Caenorhabditis elegans: one gene and its partners. The protein of the gene in region 4 purifies or fractionates together with the protein of the main gene of each other region. This does not show direct contact. Each region holds a gene or a part of one and is shown on either strand. Other genes may lie near its edges.

Region 1 (5,978 bases), on a different chromosome or scaffold from region 4:
GGGAGTTGGTATCCTTGAAAACTTAGAATGATTTCGATAAGATCTTCACAGGCAATAATCGAAGCAGTGAAGTAATCCTTTCTTGAGGCTCTCTTCAACATTGTAAAAGCTCTGATGGACTTGGAAACGAGGTGGTTTGAGTTTTGTGAAGTGGCAAGAAGGGAAAAACTGAAAATATAACAATTAAATATATAGCTAGATACTATTACAAAAATAACTTACATTTCTAAAATGTTCATGTGATCCGTTACAGCGGTGAGTGCGGTTGATGGGAGTTTACAGATAGGGAAAGGCACAAGAGAAGTCATTTGTTGACGTAGATAATAACGAAATGAACAGAGGTGGCTGGATGGAATGGTAAGACGCTCTATGTATTGGAATATTGGAATATCGATCCAGGGTTTTCAGATATTGCCAGCGTTTCTGCGACATGCCACCTGAACTGTGCGGCTCTTTTCTCGGTGCATCTTTCAGTGTTTTAGCGAGAAAGAGTTTGCGAATGATTATACTAGTTAAATAGCTGGAGCAATAAGCTTATCATTAGAAAAATTAAATTTTAAACAAAGTGGTTGTAGATATAGATATACTTATACATATAGATATACACATATATACATATATATAGACATATAGATATAGATAGTTGTAGATATACATACGCCTTGAACCAAAGAGCCGAGAGCCGAGAGCCGAATCATTTGGCTCTCGGCGCATTTCGAGTAGTATGGAATGATCTGTACACTTTTTTCCAAATTATATTTTTTATGAAAAGCTTATTGCTCCAGCTTTTCAACTAGTATAATCATTTGCACACTCTTTCTTTCTAAAGCACTAAAAATGGAATTTTCAGATGCGCCGAGAAAAGAGCCGCAGAGCCCAGCATGCTACACAATTCCCGGGCTCTGTGCGAATTACGTACTATTAGAGACTGCTGGACAATTTTTTGATATCACTTAATTTTTGAGATACACCGCTTTAACCATTATACTTCAAAATTTAGAGTGTCGCAGAACATGTTAAGTTTGAACAGATGTAACTTTTTTACCGTTAATGCAATCAACAAATTTCAACCAATTTGATATGTTACATAGTTTGAGGATCATTTTGTTAATTGAATAAGTTTTAATAGCACTCTTAGTTTTTGAGATACATCTGCTTAACAGTTGTACCTCAAAATGTACAGTGTCGTGAAACATCAAAAGTTTAAGCGAATCTAACTTTGTCACCATAACTGCAATCTAAAAACTTTCAACTAACAAAATGATTGCCATAGTCTGAGGACCATTTCGTTAGTTAACAAAATTTTGATAGCACTCTTAGTTTTTGCTATACATCGCCTTTCTGTAAGGTCTCAAATTTTCGAGTATCCCAAAAGCTCACAATATTTTTTTTCGATATTTATTCTGTCAAAACAGCATCTTCAGCTATTTTCAGCGGATTATATTTCCGTTTTTTTGCAGGGAAAATGGTAATTTATCGACTTTCATTGAAACTCTATCATTACCCCTATTTCGAAATCGATTTGGTTCTGCAAATCGTAAAAATATCATCAATTTCCGAGTTATAACTCCTCGATCGAAAAACTGCGATTCAAATCGGCGCCAATTTAAAGTCCGCAAACACGGCGGCGCGCACTTGCGTACTTTACACCAGACTTTACGAGCATTCCAACAAACTGGATTTTTCTCGCGTGAAAGCCGAGAAATGTCGCATCAGGAGCAACAAGAGCAAGAAATCGAGGCTCTCGAAGCGATTTATTCGGAAGAAGAAATTCACGTGGCAAGCCGGGATTATCCGAACATTGAACTATCGATTCAGCTCAAGTCAAATCAGGTTTGTCATGAAAATTGTGATTTTTTCGAGAACTCTTTGATTTCAACGGGTTAAACTGTGATTTTCGCTTGATTTAAATAGAAAAATCGAGATTTCCGTCGAAAACTACCCCAAAAATTTACGGCAAAATTTCAATTTTTAGCCTAATTTTATCAAAAAACTCAATTTTTCCCGTTTTTCAGTACGAAGACCCAACGGACGACGATTTCGACGTGGAATTAGGCATCGAATTTACCGAAAATTATCCAGATGAGGTAAAATCCAGGAAAAAGCTCCGAAAAATCGATTTTCAAGAGGAAAATCTGAAAAACTGAATTTTACTGGAAAAAAAATAGAAAAACCGATTAAAATGACCGGCAAAATCTGAGAAAATGCGATTTTAGACTGGAAAAAGCTGGAAAATCTCGTAAATTATTCAAAAGAGTAGAAAACCACCAAAATTGCTTGAAAAATACAGAAAAATCATTAGGAGAAATTTTAGGAAAAAATCACTAGGAACATTTTTAAGGATAAGAATTGACGGTTTTCACTAATTGCAATCAGTAAAAGCAAAAATACCGGTTAAATTCTCTGAAATCAGCCGAAAATCCGATTTGTCGATTTTTTGTGCTAAAAATGGCTAAAAACGCCCAAAAGTAACCTATTTTTCAGAAATTTGCTGAAAATGTCTAATTTTAAGCCAATTTTGCTCTAAAAACCATGAGTTCAAGCCATTGTTAGGCTGAAAATTGCTGAAAATCTCAATTTTCCCTGTTTTTTTTTCAGATTTTCCCCATCAGAATCCTCATTTTCAAGCCATTTTTGCCCTAAAAATCCCCAATTTTTTCCAGATTCCAATAATAACTCTGAATGGAATTGAAGATGCATTCACAGCCGAACGAATCGCCGAATCAATCGATAAATTACGTTCTGTTGCCGAAGAAAATCTCGGAATGGTTATGGTTTTTGCAATTGTTTCAGCACTTCAAGATGAAATTGGAGAGCTTGTTGATGTGAAAAAACGTGCAAAAGAGGAAAAAGTCGAAATTGAGAAAGAGAAAAAAGAAGCCGAGAGCCGCAAGAAATTTGAGGGTAAAAAATGGTTGAAAATCTGTAAAAATCGGAGAAAAATGGACAAAAATTGATCAAAAGACACTGAAAATCCCCAAAAACAGGAAAAAATCCCTGAAAAATTGCAAAAAAAGTGATTTTCAGCTTAAATTCCCCACAGAATTCAATTTTTTCGTCTAGAATCCGCTAAAATTTGCTGAAAATTGTCGAAAAACAGCGGAATTCATATAAATACGTTCAAAACCGCTTAAAACTCGAAAAATCACCGATTTTCAGTGAAATTTTTAAATTTTTATAGGAAAATTCACGATTTTCTTCATCGAAATCGCTAAAAAACGAATTTTGAGCTGAAATTCATCAAAAATAGCATGAAAGTGCCGAAAATTCGGCAAAAATGGGCTGAAAACGCGCCCAAACGGCCAAAAATCACCGAATTTCATGTAATTAGCGGGAAAATTGCGCAAAAACAGCTGAAAATACCAGAAAATGCCGAAAATTTACAAAAATCGGTGAAAATTTGTGAAAAATCTTCGAATTTTACGATTTTATACGGAAAAATTTGTAAAAATCTAAATTTTTCGCTGTAAGACCTAAAATTCATAGGGAAAAGTGCTTAAAATGTTGAAATTCCACAAAATTTCGCGAAATTGGCTATAAAAGTACAAAAAATTCGAGAAAAATGCTCCAAAAGCACTCAAAATTGCTCGAATTTTTTGAAAAATGTCCTAAAAGCCTTGAAAAATCTGAACAAATGTCTCAAAAACTCAAGAAAATGTTATAAAATGGCCAAAAATCTCCAAATTTTCCAGGTACTGTAGTGACACCGGACACATTCCGAGCCTGGAAGGACAGATTTGATGAGGAACGGAAAGCTGAAATTGATGCAGCTGAAAAAGAACGATTGGCATCGTTGGCTGGACGATTAACAGGTGAAAAGCTGTGAAATTGAGCATTTTAGAGCCGGAAAATTGAAGAAAATCGCAGTTTTTCCATGAAAAACGTTGAAAATTGCGATTTTTCAGTGAAAACCTGTAAAAATCGCGATTTTTAACATGGAAAATGGCGGAAAAATGAGGATTTTAGGGCGGAAAACCCCAAAAATTGCAAGTTGCCGCCTGGAAAAACGTAAAAATTGGCGGTTTTCATGCAAAAAATTCGAGATTTTCAGTTAAAAATCAAAGAAAAAGGCTATTTTACGCATGAAAATGGTTAAAAAGTGCAATTTTCAACCGAAAAAACGTAAAAAACCAGAGATTTTTAACCGGAAAATTGGAAAATTGAAGAAAATTGCAGTTAAAATTATCGGAAAATCCCCATTTTTTCAGAAAAATTCACAAAAAAACTCGCAATATCCCGAAAAAATGCTATTTTCCGTCTTTTTAGTGGAAAAAATCATAAAAATCCCGATTCTTGCGATTTTCTACGCCAAAATTATCGAAATTTTGAACTTTTTCAGGCGAAAAATTCATTTAAATCCCATTTTCTGGCTCCAAATCTCACAAAAAATGTGATTTTCCGTCTGAAAATCGCTGAAAATTTCAAAAAAAACCAATATTTTCCAGGACGTCAACTATTCCTTCGTGACGCTACACTCAATCTCTCTGACGTCACACTTATTGGAGCACAAGATGAAGTCGAAATTGATGAGAGCCTCTTTGATAATGAGGTTTCTGGAAAAAACCACTGAAAAATCGATTTTTTACTGAAAATTTACGATTTTCTATTAAAAAATTGCATGAAAAACATGCAAATTCATTGGAAATTGTCGATTTTCGAGTTTTTTTCGGTGAAAATCCGAAAATTTTTTTTTCTTTTTTGAAACGTTCCCTTTTAAAACCTGGAAAAATGTAAAAATTCGCTAAAATCCCCATTTTTTCACTGAAAAATTAGACATTTTTTACTCAAAATTTATTTTTCCATGGAAAACTCTGTTTTTGAGCTAAAAAAAATGCAAAAAATCTGGATTTTTCCGAAGAAAAAGCTTCAAAATTTACAAAATTTGGCATTTTTGGCTGAAAATTCACGATTTTCCACTTTAAAAGTGAATTTTTTGTGATAAACTTCATATTTTCTATCAAAAAATTGAAATTTTCTCACTAAAATTCCGATTTTCTATGGAAAAAACGCCAAAATTCCCACATTTTTCAGTGAAAAGCTACTTGAAAACGCGAAAAATTGCAATTTTATTCCAAAAATTGTTCGAAATTTCGAGTTTTTCTCATAAAATTGATTAATTTCAAGATGAAAATTCGATTTTACTGCCTAAAATGATCAAATTTTCCGATTTTCAACATAAAAAACCTCCAAAAATCCCATTTTTTAGCCTAAAAAACCCCAAAAAATCTCAAATTTCCACTCAAAAAAACCCATTTTTTCCAGGAACTCGAAGGTCTTGAAATGGATTCCGAAGAAGAAGAAGAAGACGATGAAGAATAGGATTTCCCCTCAATTTATTGCATTTTTCTGTGATTTTTCGCCATTTTTTCGGCGAAAAATCCCGTAATTTATCCATTTTTTTGCCCCCCAGTTTTTGTTGATTTTCACGGTTTTTCGTTTCAATTTTTTCCATTTTTTTGCGTAAAGATTTGTTTTAGTTTTAACCTTTTTTTTTGAATTTTTCGCTGTTTTTATCAGCTTTTTTATCGATTTTTTATTGAAAATTTTTGGCGATGAGTCATCAGTTTTTATCAAACTTTTTTGGAGAGTTTTGTGACTCATTTTTACTCAATTTTCAGCGGAAATTTGGTGTTTTGAAGGTTTTTTTTGTAAAAATCGCAAAAAATGCGATTTTTAGCTTGAAATTTCATTTTCCGCTAGAAAAATGTTCAAAATTGCCATTTTTTGGAATTTTTATTCAATTTTTCTACTCAAATTTCCTAAAAATGTCTATTTTCCAACTCAAATTCAGTTTTTTTTTCCGTTGAAAACTGTTCAAAACTCTAACTTTTAAATTAAAATTCAATTTTTTCCATTGAATAATTATTTAAAATCCGATTTTTGATTAATAAATTCAAAAATTATTCACTTAATAATTTTTTCACTTAAAAAAGGTTCAAAAATGTGAAAAAATCCAATTTTCAGCCGAAAAAATCGAT
Region 2 (7,662 bases), 2.1 Mb from region 4:
CTCGACGCGACAATTTTAGTTCAATGCAAAAATGTGTTTAACAAAAATATCGTAGCTGCATAATTTTCATAGATTTTGTTCAAATTTTAAGTATTTTAATATTTGTATGAGTAAATATATTTTTGAGATAAAATCGATGAAAATTCTGTGCAAACAAAAGTTTTTCGATTAGAAAAATAAAAATTGAAAGAAGATTATGAAAAATCGATGAAAATTCCGTAACAAAGAGATTCTTAAACTACAGTAATCCTTAAAGGCGCACACCATTTTTGCATTTAATACACATTTGTCGTTTCGAGACCAGCCACTGTACTGTTGCTGCAAAAAGCGCAAAATTTTCGTTTTTAAGGAACTAATATTGAAAGAATTTGTAAAATTTCTTTTTTAAAGATAATTTTGCCAAAAATAAAATTAGAAAATTATTTTTATATTTGGAGAGTATTAGGAAACTCTGATATTTTTTAAGGTATTTAAAAAATTTTTAAACGAGAAAAAATAAGCGAAATTTGACTTCAACAAAAAAAAAGGGATTTCTTTAAAACATTAAAATAATTTGACAAGTCTTCATTTTAAATATCTATCGCAAGAGTTGTTGTTGTTTTTTTTTTTGGGAATAAATTGATTGATATTGGAGAAAAGTAATAGAAAAACAAAAAAAAACCACTGACAACCAAAACAATTTTGTTAGATTAATCTAGATTCAAGAGAATATTTGGAGGGAAATGGGATTAAAATATAAAAGGTTTCGTTTTCTATGAAAATGTGATGAAAGGAGGGAGGGAACACGGAGATAGAAAAATAAGTTATCGAGATCCAAATAAAAAAAACAAAAATTAGAAAATTATTTAAAGATTATAATCAAGTTCGTAGCGGACATATTGATTTGTTGGGGTGTTCTCGATACGTGGATAGGCGGCAATAAGAGCATCTGCGGAGCCAAGAATTAGGTTGTTGAAGACCTGGAAATATTAATATGAAATTACATAAAAATTTAGCGCTTGTGGAAAAAACGTCTCAATATTCCGAATACAAATTTTAAAAAATTTATAGAAATTTTCTAATCTTTTTTTAAATTTTGCGGAAAATTTGAGAAGTACCAAAACATTTTTGAATTCCCGCGCAACCTGTATTTAATTTTTTCCTTTTTCAATTTTTCCGGTCGCTCACTTTTGGTCGAAAAAAAAGAAGATATTTCACAATAAAAATAAATTTTCTCTGAAAAATAAAAATTCAATTGAAAAAAATCATTAAAAAATTAGAAACATTCTATAAATATTTTAAAAGCTATATTCCGAATATTTCCACTATTTCTGTAATTGAAAATTCAAGGAAACTAAAATAATTACCTTCCACACTGGTTCTCGAACTTTTCTCGCTGGATGCCAAAGAGCTTGCAGGCAATATTGAAGAACCTGAAATGAATTTTAATTTTTGAAATTATTAAGAATTTAAAATAAAAACCTTAATAGGTCCCAACGAAACTCGCATTCCTTCACATGCAAACACCCATCGTTGAATAAGATGCGGTGAGTTTTCCAACATATTGGGCCACACATAATTCAATAAATGAATAAGTGCATCTTCACAACCAAATCCATAAACTCCAATAGCAAGATGAGCAACTGCGTCGACTGCAATCTGACGATGAACTTGATCTCTTTCCATTAATGCATCAATGAGCAGCGGAACAACTGCATAAATGTAGTCTTTTGCCATTTCTCCAATGTATTCGAACATGAATGAAAGAGCTTTTAAAACTCCGTTTTGTACATTAATTTCAGGTACACGATACTCGTTCATAATTGCTGGAAGTACTGTAAATGGGGCACAAGTTTCCGAAACAATGGCAATGGCGACTGTTGTACACACACGGAGCTGGCGTTCTTGGACCTGAAAAATAATTTATTTTAAAAGAATCACTTCTAATCCGAGCCTACCTTCAAATTATTGAGCAACGTTGCGAGAACATCATGTGGTCCGATAGCTTTTGCAATAAATCCAAATGTATTAATTGCAGCTCTTCGAATACTTTTCTTGTGAGCTTTAAGCAATTCGAGAAGCTCGAAACAGATTCTCATCCATTCTCTTGCAGATACAAATTCAGATCCTCTATCAGCGATTGCTCCCACCAAATCGATACAGTTCTCCTGCACTTTCTCGTGACGATTCTTCAAAATTGGTGTCAATCTTGGCAGCAAATCTTTGATTGGTGGAGTCATTTTGGTCATTCCAATAACATTGCAAATTGCTTTCAATGCACCGAGAATTGATCCAAGTACTTCTGGATATTCTTCTCCCAAATACTCATACAATACTACTCCCATGTGTCCCATCATTTTCTCCTCTTCACACATATGCATAACCGGTGCAATTCTGGCAATTAAATCAGCAGCTTGTTGACGAACTTTTGCAGATTTGTTGTTGAGACGCCACAGAATAGTACCACAGATTTGTGGGATATATGCCTTGGCACGTCGTCCAAGACTTGAGCAGATTGTTCCAAAACCATCAAGCATCACAGAATCTTCTTGAGTTTGTTCCTGGAAAGCATAAAGAAGACCATCAATCAGTTGTTCTTCAAGTCGAGCATCAATATCAGTCGCTCCTTGCAACGCTACAATATTCTCAATTGTTTCCATAACCATTTTTCTGTATTGCTCATTTTCATCCTTCAAATCATCAACAATTCGAGCAATCATCTCAACGCATCCGACTTTTTGAGCAATTTCCACAGTTGTATCAACCAATTGGCGATAGTTACGACGATCCATAGCCATTCTTTGATTCCAGAATGCTTTGAAGAAGCTTGGAAGTACTTCGTCTCGAATGTAACTCGCTTCTACTCCGTCTGTTGCACAACACTGCTTGACAACCTGCAAATTTAAATGTTAAACGATAGTTCTACGAATGTTTTGGTTATTATATCACTCACCTTTAAAACAATCTTTTTCATTTCCTCATCTGGCGATGCAAACTCGCGAATCAAAATGAGCATCACTTCTCTTGTATAATATGAAGCATATTCTGCGTCCATCAATGGAATCAGGTAACCAATAGCTTTAAGGAATGCAGCAAGACCTTTTCCACGATGCATACGAATACCTTTCCAAAGAGGTTTCAACACTGAATCGAAAGCTTCAATTCCGTATGGAGATGAAGCTTCGGCGAGAGCTGCCAAGCAGAGAGCAGTGATAGTTCGGACCTGAAACGATTTGCATCAATTCCAGAAACTTTAGAAATTAAAAAGAAAACCTTTTGCTGTTCATCATCCAATCCGCTTTCAACAATATCAACAAGTGCTTTCAAATGTGGTAATACTGCACAACCCATCAAAATGGCCATTTGTTGAACAATTTTAATACCCGTGTGCCGAGCCTGCCAACTTTTTTTACTTTTGCACACAGCTTTAAGGAATGGGAGGAGAGCTGGAATTCCGAGAGCTGAGGCGACGACAGCGAATGCACGAGCGGTTGTATTACGGACATATCTGCAAATTTTTGGGTTTGATTAAAAGCTTTGTGATGTTTTTTCTGCTTTAAATTCATTAAAACTGACCCGCAAATACCGAATTTCATAGTGAGATTTTTAAAAATCTAAAAAATACATTTTTAAAACTTTTTTTGAAAAAATTCGGTCTTTTCGGACTTTTTTAAATTAAAAACTAGTGTAAACCTATAGAAAATCACTTGATTAATCTGAAATTAACATTAATTTCAGCTGGAACGTTTCAGAAAGTTCTCAAAAATGGCCAAAAGTTGCCAGATTTTCTATAGTTTCAAACTAATTTTTAATATTTCTTCAATTTTTTTACTGTTTTCCAGGGAAAATTGAACAACCATATATTTGGTGTTTGTTTAATTGAAAAATCAACAAAACTGTCGACAAACTTACTCATCAACATTATCAATATCAGGCCTCATTGTAGAAATCATTGTTGCCAATCCAGCGGCCTTTGCAAGGTTGGAAATGATCTCACGACCTGAAAATATTTAATTTTTAAATTTTAAAATTTATTCTAAATTTTCAAACCTTCAACTCTTGCATAATAATCCTCATCGATAAGAAGTGGCTCAATGACGACAAGAATCTTATGCACATATGGTCTGACGAGATCATCCAATTTGTATAGAATTCGATCAATAACTTTTACCATCAAATGCCGTTCTTGATCCTCCAGCGATGGTGACATGAGAAGTGGAAGAATTTGATTGAAAAGTGGACCTGCTCCGTACTTTCGCGCGTTTTCTGTTATTTTTCTCAATCCGCTCTTTCTCATTGGCGGGGTTCCATTTTTGATTTTCAATAAATGCTCCATAATTTCCCGTTCATTTTTCTCTTCTTTCGTGAGTTGACTCTCATCTACATCCATCAACAACTTATCGAAATATTGCATATCATCTGGCTTTAGAGGTGGTAATTCTGCATTCTTAGGTTGAGTATCCACCAGACCACCGACTCCTTTCTCTCCGATTCCATCTCTATCTGGTGTTCCAGGCATAAAGAATCCTCCACCAGCAGCTCCACCCATTGGAGTTGGAGTGGCCATCAACTTCCGTGATGGTGTTCTCAGAGGAATGTAGTTCATTGGAGGAACCAGAACCTTGTAGCCAGGTGGGAATAGTGAATCGAGTTCTTCATCAGTCAATGGACGGTTTCTGTCATCAATTTCCTTCTCCCATCGGTAAATTTGCATTTGTTCAGGTGTCATTGGAATCATATGAGGAGCTGGTGTTTTCATTCCCATTGCTGCCGTTCCAATTGGAGTTGCTCCACCTGAATATATTTTATATTAATTTTATATTAATTACAATATTTTGTAATAAACCTGGAGTCATTGCTCCGATTGGAGTCTGTGAAGGGTGGCTCGGTGTGAATGATGGTGTCTGTAATCCGGAATGAAGTGGAGTAGCTGCTGCCACATTCGGAGTTTGTGATGGTGTCAGATCCCATCGTGAACGACGCTTCGATGCGGATGGAGTATCCTCAATCTTAACATCATCTGATCCTCCTCTAGCAGGAGTCTCCATTCCCCATCCCGGTGTCATTGATCCATCATTGAGATTCTCTTTTGGAGTTTCATCCCAACGATTTCTTCTCGGGGTCTGTGCTGCCGGAGTCGTTGACCATTTATCCACAGAAGGAGTTGCATCAGCTGCTCCAGTCGAGTGAGCCGGTGTTTCATCCCATCTAGCAGCTCTTGGTGTTGCTGCATCTGCACTAATCTTCGAAAATCCTAATCTTTTTCGTGGAGCAGAACCCTGAGATGGAGTTGCAGAAGCTGCACCAAGATTATCAGAAGATGCATCAGTTGATGGAGCTTCAGCATCCCATCTTCCTTTCTTTTTCTCTGGCTGTCCAGTAACATGAAGCTCTCCAGCTTTTGCTCGATCGGCAAGCTCCCGTTCAACACGCCCTTTCTCTTCATGGTACATCTGATCACGCATAACTTCTGCGTAACCTCGATTCCGATTGTCAGGAGTTTGATCAACTGAAAGAATAAATTTAATTAAAGTCAAAATGATTTTCGATCTTACCAAAAGCATCCGCTCTGTCTGGAGAGATCTGTCTCCTCATAGCTCTTTCGTGATACTTGGATTGTCGTTCTGCGATGGTTTTTGTGCGAGTATCTGCGAATGGATCAGTGTCCTCGGAGGCAGCAGCCACCTCTTCGATGAATTTGTGTGGCTGTGCATAATTTGTACTTTTCTTTTGTACACTCGGCATCGAATCCTCATCGACGTCATCTTCTTCTCCGGTTCCAATCGAGTCTAGGTAACTATCCCGATTTTCACCACGAACACTTCCGTAAACATCCTGAAATTGAAAAGATTCAAAAAGTAATAGAGAATTTTCAAATTTTCAAATAAAGTATTAGAATTCACTAACCGTGTCGAAATTACCAGCGGCTCCGAAGGCCACTTTATTTCCGTTTCCCTTATTCTCATCGTTGTCTTCGGCTGCCGCGGCACGCTGGTTTGCGACCCTTTTGCGGTTCAACTCCTGCGCATAAGCCTCGCCTGAACGAGACATCGATCTACAATCAATATTGATTATATGGAAGAAAGATTAAAGTTGGAAGGAAAAAAACTTTTTTTAGAAAAGATTTAGAAAACAACATCCTAAACTTCGATAGCTTGCGCGAAACCATTTTCAAATTGTAATAAACAATTGCAAAAATTTATTAATGAAATCACTAAAAAGAAATGGAAACCATAATCCTTTTACAATGAACAATATTCAAAGAAATACACTCAAGAAACTAAAATATTAATACCCTTGAAAAATAATGGATTATCTTACGAATTTTTATGAACATCAGACAGACAACAATATTTAAAGTTTTTCTGTTGTTTTTTTTTAAATAATTTAAAAGTTTTTAAACGTAAAATAACTGAAAACTGTCCCTTAAAAGGCGAAAATTGCATTCGAAATTTTGCACGAGAATCGCGTCAATGCACCGGTCGCGCGCCAACAGCACCTGCTGGCGCGCTCTCCGATCAGTGGAGGAAGATCGAAGATTGTGTTCACTTCAAGAGTTTTGACATTTCATTTGGAATATGGTGAGTTGCTCGTTTTAGTAGGTCTTTTCTGTTTTTTGTTGTTTTTTAGTGTTTCTTTCGACGTATATCGACTTTATAAGCAAATTTCCAATAAAATTGTGAACTTTTTTAAAAATTAATTTTTTTTCACCAACATTGTGGCCACTTTAAAATTGAAGCATAACTAAAATGTTCTTATTTTTAAATTTTTATTTAAAATAAAAGCTTTCTTATTTTTTTAAGTGGTTTTATCATGTTTTTGCTTTCTCGTTCTTATAGAGAGAGAGAGAGAGAGAAGAGACGCAGAATACTGGGGCAGCATATAGCATGTGTGTTGTTTAGATGTCTCCTTGCCCCTACAACCCTTTTCTATCGATTTCCCCGTTTTTTTCGGTCTGCCACGTGCTTCTTTTTCAGTTCATGCCTTTTCTCCTTTTATGAGATTCTTTTTTCCCCAACAAAATCTTATCGAAAATTTCAGGGTAAAGTCTGAAAATGGCTCCGAACAAGGCTGCCGCTGAAGAGTATCCAGTGGATATTGTGGATTTAAGTGATGATTTTAAGAGTAGCAAGACTCTTGATTTGGTCCTAGACGAGGAGCACAAAGTCTACAGATATTGGATTCATTTGAAGTGTATGAAATGGTCAGTTTTACTTCTAAACGATAAATTGTTCACTTTTCTGGAAAAAACGCTGAATTTTGGCTTTATGGTTAAAAAAAAACATAATTTTTAAGAAGTTGAAACTACAGTACTCTTTATTGTCGTTTCGAGAAACCGTATTTTTGCACGGAAATCGATCAACGTTGCTTCTGAGAAATAATATAATCCCATAACAAAACTGAATTGTCAGGCAAATTGAGTTGCGTGCAAATTCCTTCGAATGCTTTGCTGCTTACTTCAAAACTCCAGCCACCTGGTCAGCGGAAGTTGAATTCGAAATTCGGGCTCACGTTACAAACTCTGTGAGAAGCGAAAAGTTTACTGGACGATATACAGGATCCAATCATGTCTACTTTCGTCCATTGAAGCTTCAAGATCATATGGTTCGAGAGAAGCTGAGAAGTATGAGAGTAGAAATCACAGTGAATGTCATTAAAACTATGAACTTCGGAATGCTCTAC
Region 3 (3,430 bases), on a different chromosome or scaffold from region 4:
TTTCAGCTTACATTTTCTTCTTTAAATTGAAGCAGAGCATTGTTTAGTTGTGATTTTGAAAGATCATCTACTTTTTTATAATTTTCAAGCTGAAAATTTCAGAATTTAAAAGTTCATTTCTTCGACTATAAACTACAAACTCCACGGAGGTTCTCCCTCGAATCGATAATCAAATATTTGCAATTGAGCATCTTAAAATCGGTATTATTCAATATTTGGAGGGAATTTCCCCCGAAAAACACGAAATTATTGCATTTTTGAAACGGAAAAAATGTTCCAGACTCTTCCCAAGTGAAATATTCCGAGAGAGCACATCGTTTTACAGTGTACGGCAGATGTGAAAGCTTCTGAACAGAGAAATAAAAAAAATAACAGAATATTCGCGACCGCGACGCAATAGCAAGCGGAGCGGCTCGAAAAAAAACGTGGATTTTCAAGTTTTTCGCTCAATTTTTTGCGAAAAATTACTCACTTTGCCGGTAAACTCTAAATATTTTAGCACACACTGGTCTGCCCGTGCCAAAAGTTTGGCTCTATCCTCTATCCCTTTTGGAAAATGCTCTGCATCATCGAATGCTCCATTTAAATGCGAATAAAAGAATAAGGAGAACAAAAAGAAGACGACTGGCGAATGATTTACCATTTCGCCAGTTATATTCTAGGCGAATACCACACTTTGGAATTGTGGTAATCTTACAGGGAAATCTCCGAAACCAGTTTGTCGTCGTCTTTTTTCTGGAAAATAATTTATGAAAAATGAAGTATGATTCAACAAATAACAAAGTGCGGAGCCGGGACAAGCAGGAGATCACGTCAAATTCAACGGTCTGCGCACGCTTTGAAAAGAAGAGAAACTGGAAGAATGGGGGACTCGAGAGAGAGAAAAAATACAGAGAATTGATTATATTTGCGCCGTGTTGTGCTTATCCACGGAACGTTGGAGCTCCTCCCGGGCGAGACATTCCACGTGGTCCTCCACGGCCCATTGGTCGACGGAAAGCGGTTCCACGTCCTCTTCCACGCTGATCGAGACCTCCCAAACCCATTCCAATGGCTCCTTTCTGGGCTCTTCCGATATTTTTGAACATTGGCGCGTTTTTGAGCATATCCGGCAGAATCATGAATCGGATCTGGAAATTGATTGGTTTACAGCTGAAATTTAGAGAAAAATGGTGAAAAACCTTGTTTCCGCGAATGAAAACGTTGTCCAATTGATGACTTCTTCCGTCGCGGAAAGTCACAACGGTTTCAGCCAGCTGACAGTTCATGTTGTCTTCGGCTTCAGAAAGTTTTCCTCGGTAAACTTCGCCTGGAATAGAAAAGTATTTATTGAGCGACGGGAAATTCGAAAATGATTACCTGTAACGGTTTCGAGCGTGACCATGTGACCTTCGGCCTCATGAAGAATCTTGATTGGGACACCAACTGAAGTCATTCTGAAAATTTTGATTCTGTAGATTCGGCTTGAAGGGAGAAAACGTTAGAAAAAAGAAGTAGAATCGCCTAAAATTTCAGATTTTCACACTTTTCACGGTAAAGTTTGTTCTCATTTGAAATATGCTGAGCATAATAGACAAAAAAGGAATAAAACCCCGAAAATGAAGTTTTTTCGGAAAATTCTAGAATTTGCACGCGTTGCAAGAAAAATGTGGCAACAAATGGATTTCCAGATGAGAAAAATGTGTTTTAGAACTTTATTTTGAAGAAAATCTAGAAATAAAACGGTTTTTCTTTCTAAAAATTACGAAAAATGAAGAGCTCAAAATGAAAAATGAAGGGAATAAAATTCGAAAATAAGGCACGCGACGCAGCACGCAGCGTGTGCAGTGGGGCGCGTTTGCGGGAAGGGCCTCATGAAGTTAACTTCCCGGAGACGCAAGAACGCCGAAATTGGAGACTAGCATTTATGTAAAATGCAAATTTAAATATTTAATTAAATGAAAACTATTATATTATTCTTAATCAATTATAAATACTAAAAAAATACAGCAATTTTCATTTGTAAAGCTGCCAGAAACTATTTCAAATCTCACGTTCCCTTGTCCCCGAGATACTAGTTTTACGGAATGCGCATAGAATTTTTTAATTATTTACCAGATTTTACAGATGAATTTCCATAATTTTATGTAAAATATGAAGAAAAATCGGAAAATTCTCTAGAAAAATGTCAAATCGGCTTTATATTCTCCTTGCTGTAGTCCTTTTCCTAGCAACATTCGGTTCAACCGGTCTAATCGTTCTTCCAGCCAGTATCCTCTGTTTCGTAGCGGGGTAAGCTTTAATTCTTTAGAAAAACCTTAAACTGGAATACCTTCAGATTTCTCTACATTTTCTATCAAACGGGACACGAAAAACATGACGAAATCGCTGGAATTTTATCCGAAAATCTGCAAAAAGGAAAATTATCTGCGGGAATTGAGGCTCTGCTGAAAAATGGAAAACGACTCAAAGAGCAAAATCAATATGTGGAGGTGCATTCAATGTGCAATTCACCGCAATTAGATTTGGTTTTAGAACAAGTAGGGATTTATGTGGACTGAAATGTTATTAAAAATATTTTTTTTTAGATTCTCGGCAATATAACACGGGATTACGTCGGCTTTTGGTATAAAACACTTTCAAATGATAATATTTTTGAACAAAGCTTAAAGAGAACCTCCCGAAGATCAATTGCCTCATTGACACAATGGTGTGTAGCTCATTAATAAAATTTTATTTTATAAAACAAAAAATGGAAAAAAATCAATAAAATCTCAAATTTCCAGTCTCCGCCAGGTTGATTGGGTTCCATTGCTCACGCGTGACGTTGTCGACGATTTTGCTTCTCATTTACGGCTTTTCCGGAAAGCTAAGGAAAGAACTGCATTTCAAGCGAAGGAAAAAGATAAAACATTATCCCCTGAAGATTTGGAAGCGGAATTGCTCAGCAATTTCTTTGATTTTGAGCTGGAAATGGAAAAATCGTTGTGTAGAGATCTTCTTTCAACTACACCGCATTATGAAAATGGTAAAAATTGAGATTTTCGATGAAAAAATTCAATTTTTTCCGATTTTTCAGCCTATCTTCATGATCTTGTCGATATAATTCTCTATTTAATAATGCCACCGGAAGATTTTAGATGTCGGCCGCTGAGATTCTTGCTTCGAGAAGTTGTTGGTCAGTGTCGGAAGATATTCAGGAAATTGAGAAAAATTGAAAAAATAAAATCAATTTTTAAATCGAATTTTCTTCTAAAAAGACAAAAAATGACCGAAATTTGATGGAAAATTTAATTTTTTTCTGAAAAAAAAGTCAATGTCCCTTTAAAAGATGTGTAGATTTGCGAGCCACGAGTATACTCGTGGACAAGCATGAAAAACGTATTTTCTAGCAGGATTTCACGGTTTTTTGCGTTTTAAATTTAATTCTGCCTAAAATAATAAAAAAAAT
Region 4 (4,598 bases):
TCAATTTTTGGATCATTTTTCGCCGATTTTTAATGCCAAAATCGGATTCCCCGACACTTTTTACCCATATCTGATGTTTTTTTCGTCGAATTTCGAGCATTTCTGCATTTTGTCGTAGGCTCTGCGGTGTTTGCGTACTTTTGGAACTACCGTACCCCTCGAAATTCAAATTTTGAGCTAAGAACCCGGAAAACAAGTTTTAAGGCGTAAAAATAAGTGGGAAATTCGAATTTGATAATAAAAATTTGAAATTTCGACTGGAACGGTCTGAAATTTTAGTGTTTTGGACGAAAATTCATTTTTCAAAACAAATCACTGATTTTTGGGGTTTTTAATAAAAAATTCGAATTCCCCGCCACTTTTTACCCATATTTGACGTTTTTTTCGTCGAATTTCGAGCATTTCTGCATTTTGTCGTAGGCTCTGCGGTGTTTGCGTACTTTTGGAGCTACCGTACCCCGCGAAATTTAAATTTTGAGCTAAGAGCCCGGAAAACATGTTTTAAAGGGTAAAATTAGGCGGGAAATTCGAATTTGATGATAAAAATTTGAAATTTCGACTAGAAAAGTCTGAAAATTAAAAAAAAATTTCGAAAAAAAAAATTTTTTTTTTTCAAAAAAAAAATTTTTAATTTTAAATTTTTTTTAAAAATTCTTTTTAACATATTTCCAAAATTTCCAAATTTCCAGGTCTCAAACACACGGGCGGCACCACTCCGAATCGCCGAAAAATGTCAAAATCGCCGTCTCCAGCGCCACGTGGCTCCGCACCACCGCCAGTTGCTCCAAAAACTCGAGTCGTCAGTGTTGAAAGGGATCGACAATAAATTTGATCGATTTTCCCATTTATTTTCTCGTGTAAAATATGAAAATTTCTAGTTTTCCCCGTTTTTTCCCATTTTTTCTAACAAAAAATTCAAATTTCCCCCCTTTCCACGTGTGTTACGGGCATTTTTCACACTTTTTCTCTGCATTTTTGCCGTTTTTCCCCTTTTTTTTCCCCCGTGATTATTTGAATTTTTGAATTTTTTCGCTTTTTTGTGCGGAAAATTATTTTTTTTCTACTTTTTTCCTTGGTTTCCCCCCTTAAACCGGTTACAATACGCGATATTATTGTTTTTCTTTTTTTAAAAATGATTTTTTAATGAATAAATTTGATTTGTTTGAAAAATGTTTGAAAAAATTGCAAAAGAAAGTGTTCTGCGTAAAAATAAATTAAAAATAAAGAAAATTCAAAAAAATGGAGAAAATTCGAATTCAAACACCCGCGCAAATGAGGTACGTGATTTTGCGTGCGCGTGTCTGCGGACCGGGCATTTAATCTTACGGCACTTGGTGTTTTCCAACGCTGAAAATGATTTAATTATTTGTTTTAAGCCTAAATTTCTTAATTTTCAGCCGTTTTTCTCGATTTTTTCGATTTATAACCTAAAATTCATGAATTTTCGATCTTTTCAAGCCATAAAATGCTAAAATCCATCACAAAATCGAGTTGAAATCGACTTTTTTAGGCGGAAATTTCAGATTTTCGATTTTCAAGCAATTTCACCCGATTTTCAGATCATTCAACGACGGGTTACACTTTATTGATAGTGGAAAATGTCTGACGATGAAATAAAAAGCGAACATGTTCAGGAGAAGACGGAAAATCTGAGCGAGGTTCGGTTTTGAGGCCTAAAATTCGATTTTCGGCTTGGAAAGGCTTGCAAAAGCTTGAAAAAGCTTAGAAACTTGCATCCAGATGTGAATTTCATTGAAAAATCCAGAAAAATTTCCAAAAAATCGCGAAAAAACGCGAAAAAACAGTGAAAATACCAGAAATGTCCCAAAAACTCTATTTTTTAATTCCAGGAGGACGCATTAAAGGAAGAAATCCGCCGTTTTTCGTCGGCAGTTTCGAATCCAAGCCTTCGGGCTCATGGAATGGCCTACGCCGCTCTGACGAAGCTCATCGAGCGCCGCTCAACGGAAATTCCGGCTCAATTTGTGAAGGGGCTCGTCAAAATGAGCATTGCCAACTCGATTCGGCTCTATGGACAGCCAAAATCCTTTCAGGTAGCGGAAGAAAGCTGGAAAGTGTCGAAAAAACGAAGAAAATTAGCCTAAAATTGGACTTTTTCGTGACAATTGTGCAAAATTTCGCAATTTTTCACCTGAAAATTGCTATTTCTGCAGAAAAATTCTCAAAACTTGCAGATTTTCCTCTATCTTCGTCGAAAAACTCCACATTTTTCACGATTTTCACCTGAAATACTGATAAAATCTCGATTTTTCACAAAATTCCCGGATTTCCATTCAAAAAGTTGGATTTTTCTGGTTATTTACCAGAAAAATCCGAGAAATTGTCAAGTTTTTATCATTTTTAGTTCAAAACCCTGGAAATTTTTACGAAAATTCAAGATTTTTCTCTTTTTTCAACGGAAAAATCAGATAATATAAGATTTTTTTCCCGAAAAAACCCGGATTTTTCACACAATTTCACCTGAAAATCGACGAAAATCCTTTAAAAAATTCTGAATATCCATTCAAAAAGTTGGAATTTTTCGATTTTTTTCCGGAAAAAGTCCGGAAAATTGCAAATTTTTAAGACACAATGCGGAATTTTTTCGAAAAACGGTCTGAAATTCGCATTTTTTCACAATTTTCCCGAAAAATTGGGCTTTTCTTTCAAATTTCAGTAAAAAATTCCGGTTTTTTCGCCCGAAAATCCCCATAAATCCCTGAAATTTCTGGATTTCGATCCAAAAAACCGGAGTTTTCGCTTTTTTTGCCGAAAAATCCGTCAAAATTGTTCAATTCTCCATGAAAATTTCGAATTTTTGGATAAAAATCGGAATTTTTACGAAAAACGCTGGGAAATCTCACAAATTCCACTGGAAAATTGACGAAAATCCTCAAAATTCCCGTGTTTCTATTCAAAAAAGTCCGAATTTTTCGCTTTTTTTGCCGAAAAAGTCCGGTAAATTGCCAATTTTTACGAAAAACAGTCAAAAATTCGCAATTTTTCCGCAAAAATTAAGCTTTTCCATGAAATTTCAGACGAAAATTCCAGATTTTTCGCATTTTTCCACGAAAAATCGACCAAAATCCTCGAAATTTCCGGATTTTCATTCAAAAAGTTGGAATTTTTCAAACTTTTTACAGAAAAAGTCTTGAAAATTGCCAATTTTTACGAAAAACAGTCAAAAATTCGAGATTTTCCTCATTTTTCAACTAAAAAACCCGGATTTCTCACAAATCCCACCGGAAAGTCGGCGAAAATCCTCGAAATTTCTGGATTTCCATTCAAAAAAGTGGAAATTTTTCGCTTTTTTTGCCGAAAAACCCGTCAAAATTTCAAATTGTTTGAATGAAATCGGAATTTTTTTACGAAAAACAGTAAAAATTCGCATTTTTTCACATTTTTCCTCTGAAATTTGAGCTTTTCTATGAAATTTTAACCGAAAATTCCCGATTTTTCGCTTTTTTTTTACCTGAAAATCCCCATAAATTACTGAAATTTCCGATTTTTCACGAAAAATTTGCTGAAAATCGACGAAAATCGTCGAAATTTCTGGATTTCCAATTTAAAAAAGTCGGAATTTTCCAAATTTTTTGAATGTAAATCGGAATTTTCAATAAAAACAGTGAAAATTCGCATTTTTAAACATTTTTTTTCCGGAAAATTACCTGGATTTTTTTCACGAAAACCCGTCGAAAATTCACATTTTCTCTGCGAAAATTGAGCTTTTCCATGAAATTTCAGCCAAAAATTCCAGATTTTTCGGTTTTTTCAACCGAAAATCCTCATAAATCACTGAAATTTCCAATTTTTCAACAAAAATTTCCTTCCAGGCCGTCTCAAAATTGCTCCAAGTGCTCGCCAAACGTGATCCCATCTCCACACTCAAATCACTGCTCCAAACAATCACCACGGCTCTTCCAATCATCCCAAATCTCACGGAATCCCATAGTCTCTCACAAGTTCCAACGATGAAATGGCTTTTGGCCTGTTTGGATGGAAATTCCTGCGCTGAAAATGCTGTGGAAATCTTTGGAGCTCTCGGAGCAATCGCCTATTGGATGTCTGCTAGTGATAAAGCTTGGCGTGTTTTCACAAAGAAGCTGGCTCAGCTTTTCGCGAAAAATCCCGAGATTTCCAATGTTTTCACCGCAAAAATCGGGGAATTTTCAAAGGAAAATCCCGAGAAATCGTTGGCTCTGATCTCGGCTTTTGGTGCTCTTGGAGCCGCGAAAACTCCTGAAATTGCTCCAATTTTCGTCGAAATTTTCACAAAATCCCAGCTTCTCCCAAAGCTCCGACCACCGCAATTTTTCGTCACGAGAATCTCGAAATTCGCGGTTTTTCTCCAAAAATCGCCGGATTTTGAGACGAATTTGCTGCCAAATATGAAAAAAGCACTGCTCCGGAGCCCTGAAGTCGCGATTTTCGGAATCCGTGGGCTCTTGGAGCACATCAGCTTCTCGCTCGACTTTTGTGCTCAGGATTTGCTCAAATCTACGATTTCCTCGCTTTGTAACACGGATCCGGAGATTCGTGAAGCTGGAATCGGGATTGTGGTGGCTTTAAGCCGAAAATCGGAGATTTCAGTGATTCAG

Evidence for each region.
Region 1: the proteins of gcn-1 (region 4) and T26E3.4 fractionate together in Caenorhabditis elegans (co-fractionation; one large-scale study listed by BioGRID). This does not show direct contact.
Region 2: the proteins of gcn-1 (region 4) and sftb-1 fractionate together in Caenorhabditis elegans (co-fractionation; one large-scale study listed by BioGRID). This does not show direct contact.
Region 3: the proteins of gcn-1 (region 4) and snr-1 fractionate together in Caenorhabditis elegans (co-fractionation; one large-scale study listed by BioGRID). This does not show direct contact.

What each region holds. Positions count from the first base shown.
Region 1 is NC_003279.8:12,663,416-12,669,393, forward strand, and holds T26E3.4 (RWD domain-containing protein), read left to right. Parts: upstream 1-1,694; 5' UTR 1,695-1,704; coding exon 1,705-1,833; intron 1,834-2,015; coding exon 2,016-2,087; intron 2,088-2,663; coding exon 2,664-2,904; intron 2,905-3,692; coding exon 3,693-3,812; intron 3,813-4,445; coding exon 4,446-4,549; intron 4,550-5,262; coding exon 5,263-5,319; 3' UTR 5,320-5,478; downstream 5,479-5,978. Other genes in the region: T26E3.5 (F-box domain-containing protein), read right to left, coding at 1-168, 223-308.
Region 2 is NC_003281.10:4,263,237-4,270,898, forward strand, and holds sftb-1 (Splicing factor 3B subunit 1 domain-containing protein), read right to left. Parts: upstream 6,035-7,662; 5' UTR 6,031-6,034; coding exon 5,887-6,030; intron 5,815-5,886; coding exon 5,535-5,814; intron 5,489-5,534; coding exon 4,826-5,488; intron 4,774-4,825; coding exon 4,030-4,773; intron 3,980-4,029; coding exon 3,892-3,979; intron 3,488-3,891; coding exon 3,253-3,487; intron 3,203-3,252; coding exon 2,933-3,202; intron 2,874-2,932; coding exon 1,938-2,873; intron 1,891-1,937; coding exon 1,462-1,890; intron 1,413-1,461; coding exon 1,347-1,412; intron 960-1,346; coding exon 846-959; 3' UTR 547-845; downstream 1-546. Other genes in the region: R10E4.1 (BTB domain-containing protein), read left to right, coding at 7,035-7,183, 7,392-7,662.
Region 3 is NC_003282.8:17,086,064-17,089,493, reverse strand, and holds snr-1 (Small nuclear ribonucleoprotein Sm D3), read right to left. Parts: upstream 1,446-3,430; 5' UTR 1,436-1,445; coding exon 1,360-1,435; intron 1,310-1,359; coding exon 1,182-1,309; intron 1,131-1,181; coding exon 924-1,130; 3' UTR 644-923; downstream 1-643. Other genes in the region: Y116A8C.43 (Lipoprotein), read right to left, coding at 12-89, 141-347, 473-643; snx-13 (Sorting nexin-13), read left to right, coding at 2,165-2,271, 2,318-2,519, 2,568-2,689, 2,766-3,007, 3,059-3,157. UniProt on the Caenorhabditis elegans protein: Plays a role in pre-mRNA splicing as a core component of the spliceosomal U1, U2, U4 and U5 small nuclear ribonucleoproteins (snRNPs), the building blocks of the spliceosome.
Region 4 is NC_003281.10:2,150,386-2,154,983, forward strand, and holds the start of gcn-1 (TOG domain-containing protein), read left to right. Parts: upstream 1-1,559; 5' UTR 1,560-1,598; coding exon 1,599-1,658; intron 1,659-1,850; coding exon 1,851-2,054; intron 2,055-3,833; coding exon 3,834-4,598. Other genes in the region: frl-1 (GBD/FH3 domain-containing protein), read left to right, coding at 690-826.